Sus scrofa: one gene and its partner. Each later gene encodes a partner of the first gene's protein in a complex. Links are inferred from orthologs where the notes say so. Each region holds a gene or a part of one and is shown on either strand. Other genes may lie near its edges.

Evidence for each region. Proteins that work in one complex are often made in the same cells at the same time.
Region 2: GEMIN5 (region 1) and GEMIN2 share a complex: the UniProt entries of both Homo sapiens proteins name them as parts of the SMN-Sm complex. The link is inferred for Sus scrofa from reciprocal best matches to the Homo sapiens genes GEMIN5 and GEMIN2.

Annotation. Positions count from the first base shown.
Region 1 is NC_010458.4:68,305,873-68,310,569, reverse strand, and holds part of GEMIN5 (gem-associated protein 5), read right to left. Parts: intron 2,704-4,697; coding exon 2,476-2,703; intron 783-2,475; coding exon 669-782; intron 291-668; coding exon 165-290; intron 1-164. UniProt on the Homo sapiens protein: The SMN complex catalyzes the assembly of small nuclear ribonucleoproteins (snRNPs), the building blocks of the spliceosome, and thereby plays an important role in the splicing of cellular pre-mRNAs.
Region 2 is NC_010443.5:169,682,209-169,686,905, reverse strand, and holds part of GEMIN2 (gem-associated protein 2), read right to left. Parts: intron 3,517-4,697; coding exon 3,400-3,516; intron 1,121-3,399; coding exon 1,076-1,120; intron 1-1,075. UniProt on the Homo sapiens protein: The SMN complex catalyzes the assembly of small nuclear ribonucleoproteins (snRNPs), the building blocks of the spliceosome, and thereby plays an important role in the splicing of cellular pre-mRNAs.

The DNA.
Region 1 (4,697 bases):
GTGGGATACAAGGGGAAAGATTGCTGGAAAAGACTGCAGAAATACAGACAGCAGTTTAGGACATGGCTCATTCATTCATTCATTCATTCAAGAAATAAACAAGCACTTCTTCGGTGCCAGGTCCCAGAAGACTATGGATGGGCCAGGGGAGTGTATTTTTGTACCTTTGGAGTGTTTTGCAGTGGCTAGTACCAAACAGTCCTGATGAAGCTCTTCCTTGGATCTGTGGTCCAGACTCGTACTCAGTGGAAGCATGGAACGAGCTTTTCGCTTCTTAATGATTAGGGCTTCTGAAATGTAATAAAAGTACTGACTGAAGAAGAGCTGATCACAACACAAAACTGAAAGCATGCCCTTTGTGTGAATGTAAACCTACTGGAGGGATCCTGCAGGGTAGAGAAAGTTCCCACTCTTAGAAAGAAGCTTTCAAATTGAATTAGCTGGGGGCAGTGTTCACAACACACACAAACCTACTCCTGTGAACAGTTGTGAAGCTACATCAGTAATTTGCCAAAGGAGTTCCTCAGTACCAAAAAAATGACCCCAGTCGAAACATAATCAAAACACAAATATTTAAAACCTAAAGCAAAAATTGTACACTTTTGAGTTTTCAGTTACATGTAATATTTGAGGATGCTTTAACGAAATTTTAATTACTAGATACTAACCTGGCTTCTCTTTAGGTGCCTCCTTTTTCAGTACAGCGACTTTGTTATTAATGGTGACTTTTGACTTTTCTAAACCTAAGGAAGCTGGAGTGCAGGTAACTGGTTCCTTAGAAACTACATCATAGGGAAAAGAAAAAATGTCTGGATGAGAACAACATAGAATCCAGTTCTTTTTGAAAATTAAGAGCTATCCCAGGTTTTAAGGTGTGATTTTTGTCTGTTACCCCAAACATGAGATGAAATATTTCAGAAAGGAAACATGGGTGTTTTCTTCCTTTCCCCACCTCACAAGCTACATTCTGGGAATCTGCAACTTTATTACTTAGAACTCTGACTAACTGATCTAAGGAAAAGTTGTATGATTCTAGCCTTCATAACTTTATACCATAGGCCCGAGAGTTCTCAGACTTAGCTTAGGTGACAGAAGACTTAAATATTTAGGTGACACATTACTGATTGCATATTTAATTACACAAACAAGGAACAACTTTACCAATGGAAATCTAAAGTGTATGGGATATGGAGTCATAATCCTGAGTATATACAACCACAAACTATAAAAGAACTTGACAAAACAACCAAATTGTTGATAGTTAGGAGTAAAAGGACATTTTGTGCAGTCATTTTGTGATACAGAGGTATTCTAATGGGTCTACAAAATAAATCCATTAAGCAACCTAAATGTCCACTGACAGAGAAGTAGATAAAGATGTGGTACATATATACAATGGAATATTATTCAGCCATAAAAAAGAATGAAATAATGCCATTTGCGGCTACATAGATGCAACTAGAGATTCTCATTTTGAGAGAAGTCAATCAAATATGTGGTATCACTTATATGAGGAATCTAATAAAAAATGATGCAGGGAGTTTGTGTGTATAGAACAGAGACTCACAGATTTCAAAAGCAATCTTATGGTTACCATAGGGTACACTGTGAGAAGGAGGGAGAAATTGGAAGGATGGAAGTAACATATACACACTACTGTAGAGCACAGGTAGTTAACGGGAACCTACTGGAGAGCTCAGGGAAATCTACTCAATAGTTTGTAACAACCCATATGGGAAAAAAAAATGGAGATAGATATATATATAGCCAATTCACTTTGCTCTACACCTAAAAGTAACACAACAATGTAAGTCAACTATACTCCAGTAAATTTAAACAAACAAAATGAAACAAAAGCAAAATCTATTAAGCTTTTACATCCTTATTTATCCAAACTTTGGGTCCTAACAGCCACCCCTGGGAACAGAGAGAGTCAGGGATGTCCCTGTCCCTTAGATTTTGGCCATTTAAAATTCTGACACATCAAAATATTTTGTTTCAGAATTAAACATGAGTCAGTCCTATTTATATTGCTTGCTTGCAAGTTCCCAGTGTGGTGGTTTCTAGGTCAGGTACAGTGGTTTCTTTCAATAAATGTGGCTGATGATGTCATACTGTTAAAACTTTCCCCACGTAAGTTTCTACGTGAACACTGCCCTAGCTTCACTTTGTCCCACAGTTTAACCCTGCCCAAGGTGATATGTTTTCTCTGCAGAACTTCACTATTTCCATTGCAGTCATCCATTATATCCCCTTTGACACTTCAAAGTTATTATTTTAGAGGCTTAAATAAATCTTAAAAAAAACCCTTAATTAGTTTTTAAGGACACCAAAGACACACTAAGTTAAGGAGTTGGGAAAGCAAGTAGCTCAGAGGCAGAAAAGTTTCACTCCCAGTAAGGACCTGGCTTAGTTTCTTGGTCATGACTCTTTAAGTCCTAGAGAGTTGGTGAAACTTGGGATTCTGCCACCTACCTGTGGGGGTGTCACCACAGGGTGGCTCTGGCTCCCGGACTTCCTCCTCCGTCTCCTGGTCTGACACGCCGTTCTCAACAGGGCCTGAGCTCTCCTTTATGCTCTCTTCTTCATTCCTGTCACAGAATTCCTGCTTGGTAGGCACTCTTGAAGTGGGCTTTTTCTTCTTTTTGGGCTTTGGCTTAGGTTGAGAGAGCCTTTTTTTCTCTAATTCAATACTTTTCTTGCCTGTAGGAAATGCAGTTAAGTAAAGGATAGATTAAAATACATATATTCTTGGTTGAAAGCACTCTAGGTGATAATCTCCAAAACCTTATTACTCTTCTTTTTGATCACATTCTTGCTCTTTCCCTTCCCTCCCAGTGAATTCTTATAGTAGCAAAATGTGCACTACATCAAACCCTTTTGAGATTTCATTAAATCATAAACATGATGCCCATTTAGCCCTCAACACGTCAGTGTATGTCCTACAAACAAGAATACACTCCTACATGACCACAGCACGACCATTAAAATCAGGAAATTAACAGTGATCCATTACTGCTGTCTGCTCTTTACACTCACTCACGTTCTGCCAGCTGCATCAAGAATGTCCTTTATGGCAAACAGTAAAAGGAATCAATCTAGGATAACATGTTGCATTGGCTTATTATGTCTGAGTTTCCTTCAGCCTGGAACAGGCTCAATTTCCTTTGACCTTCAGGACTGGAAACTCTTAAAGATTACAGGATAGGCCTTGTTGAATTTCCCTCAAAATGGGTCTGCTCTGTGTTTTTCATGATTGGATTTAGATTATACATTTTTAACTATAGTGCGTAGAAGTGAGGCTACGTTTATCACTCTTTGTCTCATTATTTGATTAAGGGGCGGTATCTTGCAGGTTTCTCCCTGCCTGAAAAATTATTTTCTCTTTGTAGTTATTAAGTTGTACCCATTGAGGTTTCTTGACTAAAAACTGTTACTGTGATGATTCCAAATGGCAGTCTTCTACTCCATCATTCACTCCACATTTATTAGCTGGCTTTGAACTCTAAAGAACTTCTGCTCCTCTCTATTTATTTAAACGATTTGTTTATTTTTATCATTATGGACTCATCGATTCCTATTTTATGTTTTAATCCTATATTGCTATTTTATTTGTTTATTTATTTATTTGTCTTTTTTTTTTTGCTATTTCTTGGGCCGCTCCCGTGGCATATGGAGGTTCCCAGGCTAGGGGTCGAATCAGAGCTGTAGCCGCCGGCCTACGCCAGAGCCACAGCAACGCGGGATCCAAGCCGCATCTGCAACCTACACCACAGCTCACGGCAACGCCGGATCGTTAACCCCCTGAGCAAGGGCAGGGATGGAATCCGCAACCTCATGGTTCCTAGTTAGATTCGTTAACCACTGCGCCATGACGGTAACTCCCATTGCTATTTATTTTTTTAAGTTTTTACCTTTTGCTTTTAAGTTGTCTTTATCGAGATAATTTAATACCAGAAAATATATGCACTTTTTAATACTTTTATGAGTTTAGACTAACGAATAGTCAGGTAACCTAATGCCACAAATACAATATTTACATTATTTCAAAATGTTCCCTGAACTCCAGGCAGTCACTGACATGCTATCACTGTAAATTTAGTTTTGTCTGTTTTAGAAATTCACATGACATATAACTATTGCATGTTCTATATTAGAATTATAAAATATTTAGTCTTTTGGGCCTGGCTTCTTTTGCTCAGCATACTCTTTTTTTGAGATTCATCCATTTTGTTGTGTTTATAAGTAGTTACGTTCTTATTATGCCTGAACAGAGTTCTACTATAGAGATATACCACAATTATTTACCAGCCGATGTACATTTGGGTTGTTTCCAGTTTGTGGCGATTTTACAGATAAAGCTATGAGCACTCTTTTAAAAAATCTCCTTGTGGAGATATCATTTCTTTGTATACATTTCTAGTTGCTTATATACTATGTCTAGTTTTCTAGCTGTGTCTGGTAGGTGGGCAAATCTGGCACCAGTTAATCTTTTATGGTCAGAAATGGAATTCTCCTGCTAATTATTTACAAACTCAAATCATCCCAGATTTGGGGAGGCAGCCCCTTCAGGTTGGCTTCTTTGCTCTTTTGCTACATCTCAGTTCTTTGAGCACTTCCTTCCCTGTGGCATAGGCTGATGCTGTAGGCCCGTCTTGAATTTCTCCTGGCCTAACCTGGAATTAGCCATTTCTTCA
Region 2 (4,697 bases), on another chromosome or scaffold:
TATAGCACATAGAAGTTCCCAGGTTAGGGGTCAAATCAGAGATACAGCTGCCAGCCACAGCAATGAGGGATCTGAGCAGCTTCTGCGATCTATACCATAGCTCATGGCAGTGCTGGATCCCTGACCCACAGAGCAAGGCCAGGGATTGAACCCACAACCTCATGGATACCAGTTGGATTTGTTTCCGCTGCACCACAACAGGAACTTCCCTATAGTATCTTAATCTTAATGTAAGTGATATGTGAGTAAAACTGTCAGCCAGTTTTTGATTTACAACAGAGTATGATGCTTTTTTTTTTTTGGGTCACCCCAGGGCATATGGAGTTCCTGGGACAGGAATCAGATCCAAGCTACAGTTGCAACCCTCACTGCAGCTGTGGCAACTCGGGGTCCTTTAACCCACTGTGCTGGGCCAGGGATCAAACCTGTGTCCTGACGCTACACAGACACCCTGGATCCTGCTGTGCCACAGCAGGAACTCCAGATTTACAACAGAGTATGACTCTTAAAAAAAATTTATCTACATTGGTACTCTATGCTATGTGAATGCAAAACAATCAAAAGTTTTTATTTGCTCTTTAAATAGGTAACAGTTCCTGAAAGACTGAAGGACTGAAGTCCATTATTTCTCCCCTTTTGATCCAAGAAATTCAAATTTCATTCTTAGTGAAATGCGTAGGTCATCCAGAACTAGAAACACCTTTTTGATCTCAGTATTTATTTCAAACCCCAGAATCTAAGACTTATAACTAAAATGTATATATGTGAATAGTTTAGCACCATGATCAAGAGCATGAGTTCTAACATCAGATCAACCTGGGGCTGAGTCCCAATGTCACCATTAAAATTCACTGAAAAACCACCAAGTGACTTTAATTCTGTTTCCTCAGCTACAAAAAAATAGGTATTAATAATAATCCCCCATAAAGGGTTGTAGTGAGGATTAAATAAGAACTGTTACAAAGTCTAGAACTGGGTCTTACATACTGTAAATATTCAGCAAATTATTTAAATATTTTAACACACATTGCAAACAAAAGAACACTTAACATTCTTATTATCAGACAGACTTTACCTGATTCATTCTGCTAACAATGCTAAGCAAGGGAGGAAAACCAATCTGAAAGAAAAATTAAATTGAAATTTACTAAATAGTATTACAAGGAGGGGGCTTCATTTTTTTTTTTTTTTTTCCAAACTGGTGAATTTCTCAACACACTGTTATTAAAGAACAAAGACTAGATAAAAGAAAAATTTCTCCACTGTCCATTACAATAAAATATTCCATGAGCTATTATGTTGGTAATGCCCAAGAAAATAATGTCTTAACATTTGAACACGTAAATTAAAACCAAAGAACGATTTTAGTAATTAAGATGTTAAAACGTGAAACTGAAAAAAATGATACTATGACATTAATATGTTGTATACACTTTTTCAAAATCTTCAGCTAAAGTTATTATTTTCAGGAATTAAAGGCACTTGAATGAGTTTTTTCAAACCTAGTCTGCTTCAATTTAAGAAAGTGCTTTGGAATTTAATGCGGGAAGCCTGGATTATGAAAACAGTCCTGACTTGGTGCGAAACTTGAGGACATGCATTAAACTTTTATGTTCTTAAATTGTTCTTTCACATGATATGCTTTACTTGTATGTATTTTGGGTTTTGTTTTGTTTTCTTTTCTTTTTAGGGGTGCACCCGTGGCATATGGAAGCCTTCTAGGCTAGGGGTTGAATCGAAGATATAGCTGCCGGCCTACACCACAGCCACAGCAACGCGGGATCTGAACCATGTCTGCAACTTACACCACAGGTCGTGGCAACGCCGGACCATGGACCCACTGAGCAAGGCCAGAAACCGAACCTGCATCCTCATGGGTACTAGTCAGATTTGTTTCCAATGCTCCAAATGGGAACTCCCTCACCTGTATGTATTTGGTAATAACGAACTATATATATTTTAATTCTGTGTCAAATTAAAATATATTATGGATATTATCCCAAAGAACATAAGTTGTCTAAGAAACAGTGTCAAATTAGCTCCCTTAGAGATTTGAATCTGTCTACACTCCCACTACCATGTGTAAGAGTGCCTGTCTTCCTAGCCTTTGTTGACTCAGTGTATCAAATTTTCTTTACCAATATGTCATACCAGCTCAGTGCAATTATAAGTTAAATTTCTATCATAAGTGAGTCTGGGCATCTTCTCATGTAAGAACAATCTGTATTTCCTTCTTGTGAGATGTCCTTTATATTCTTTGCCTTTTTTTTTTTTTTTTTAATTTGGGTTCTTGGTGTTTTTCAGTGATTTTTGGAGCTTTACATTTTGGGGCTAAACTAATTTTACTTTATTTATTTATTTATTTTTTTAAAACTAATTTTAATAGGAAAAACACAATGTGGCACCACACAGAAAATGATAAATATCTATTCAACAGAACAACATAGTTTCAGGAGTTACTAGTAATGCAGATGAATACAGTGAGTTTCCTTGGAACATCTGCACACTTGAAGGCAAGCGAATGCTGAAGGCAAGCGAATGCTAAAGGACAAGAAGCAGATAGCTACATAATTTATGATTAAAATAAAAGTCACGTGAAATTGGAGTTCCCATTGTGGTGAAGTGGAAAAGAATCCAACTAGGAACCATGAGATTGTGGGTTTGATCCCTGGCCTCGCTCAGTGGGTTGAGGATCCAGCGTTACCATGAGCTGTGGTGTGGGTGGAAGACGTGGCTTGGATCCTGCATTGCTGTGGCTGTGGTGTAGGCCAGCAGCAGTAGCTCTGATTAGACCCATAGCCTGGGAACCTCCGTATGCCACGGGTGCAGCCCTAAAAAAAGCAAAAAAAATAAAATAAAGTCACGTGAAATTAAAATATACCCTCAACATTTAATCTCCAGAATATGAATTTATGAATAAACATTTTAAAGCACCTAACTTTGTTTCCTTGACTACTTATAACTCATTGTTTGACTCATGCCTAATGGTTTTTTAAAAAAAGAATCCTATCTGACAAAATTATTAAAAAGCTAAACCATAAGAGATATGAAGCTAACCTAAAAAGAGCCACAGTACATTGTTTTATAAATGAGGCTATCAATTTTTAAGTCAAAGAGCCAATGAACTAAGTTAGGGATTGGCAAGTAATTTCCGTAAAGAGCCAGACAGCAAATATTTTAGGTTTTGTAGACCATATACTGTCTAAGTCACATTATTATTAATTTTTTTTAACAACCCTTTAAAAATGTAAAAACTATAAAGTTTTTATGTTTAGCTCATGAGCTGGACAAGAACAGGTTGCAGATTGGATTTGGCCTAGACTGCAGTTTGCTGAGTCTTTACATGAAATCATGCACTGAAATTATAATTTTTCTTTGTGTAGCCACATTATCACCTACTTGTACATAATCAATTCCAGGACTTTCACTTGCAGCTGGTCCAACAGTAACTCCTTCAGCACATAACCTTTCACCGAGACAAAATTTTTTCCAGCCTTCTTCATCTTCAGATTTTGGCTAAAACAAAGAAAAAAGAAGAAGAATTTAGTTATTCCTATATAATTTTTAAAGAAAATACTCAACAGTGAAAAAAATAAGTGAGAATTCCTCTGTATCCCCACCACCTCAACACAAAGATATACTGCCTGTTACGAAAGAGTGAACTGTGTAGTCCTAAAAATCACGTGCTGCAGTCCTAACCCGCAGTACCTCAGAATGTGATTATTTGAAGTCTGGGCCTTTATAGCAGCAATTAAGTTAAAATGAGGTAGTTAGGGCAGGTCCTAATCCAAAATGACCTGCATCCATAAGAAGAGGAAATGTGGACAGAGAGCTATTACACATGTGTGTGCACACAGGAGACTATGTGAGGACAAAGCAAGAAGATGACCATCTGAAACCAAAGAGAGAGGCCTGAAGAGAAATGTACCGACACCCTGATCTCAGACTTTGATGGTCACACCAGCATTTAGTTTGGATTGTACTTTATTATTTACTTATTTTTTTATTTTATTTTTTTTAGGGCTGCATCTACAGCATATGGAAGTTCCCAGGCTAGGGGTCAAATCGGAGCTGAAGCTACAGGCCTACACCACAGTCACAGCAATGCAGGATATGAGCCACGAATGTGACAATGGCAGCTTGCAGCAATGTCAGATCCTTAACCCACTGAAGGAGGCCAGGGATCGAACCTGCATCCTTACGGACACTGTGTTGGGTTCTTGACCCACTGAGCCACAATGGGAACTCTATAGTTTGAATCATACTTTATGGACAGTGACAAACAAGAGTGTGTTCAAAAGAGGGTGATAAAGATAGGAGCTGATATGGGACACTAAGAATGCTTACAAGAATAAAGGATGAGAATCCCAGGGAAGGAGACATGATTACATATTCCACATACTTAAAGGGCTGTCCAATCAAATAAGAAATATTTATTCTACATTGTCAGACTGAAAAAAAGCAGGACCAATTAGGAGCTCTCTTGTGGCACAGTGGGTTAAGGATCCAGTGTTGTCTCTGCAGCAGTGCTGGTCACTGCTGTGGCATGAGTTCCTGGCTTAGGAACTTTTACATTCAGCCAGTGCAGCCAAAAGAGGGAGGGAGATCTGGCTTGGGTTGCTGCTGTGGCTAGGGATTCGATCCCTGGCCCAGGAACTTGCCATGAGTGGGGCTAACAGAAGAGGGGGAAAAAAAGC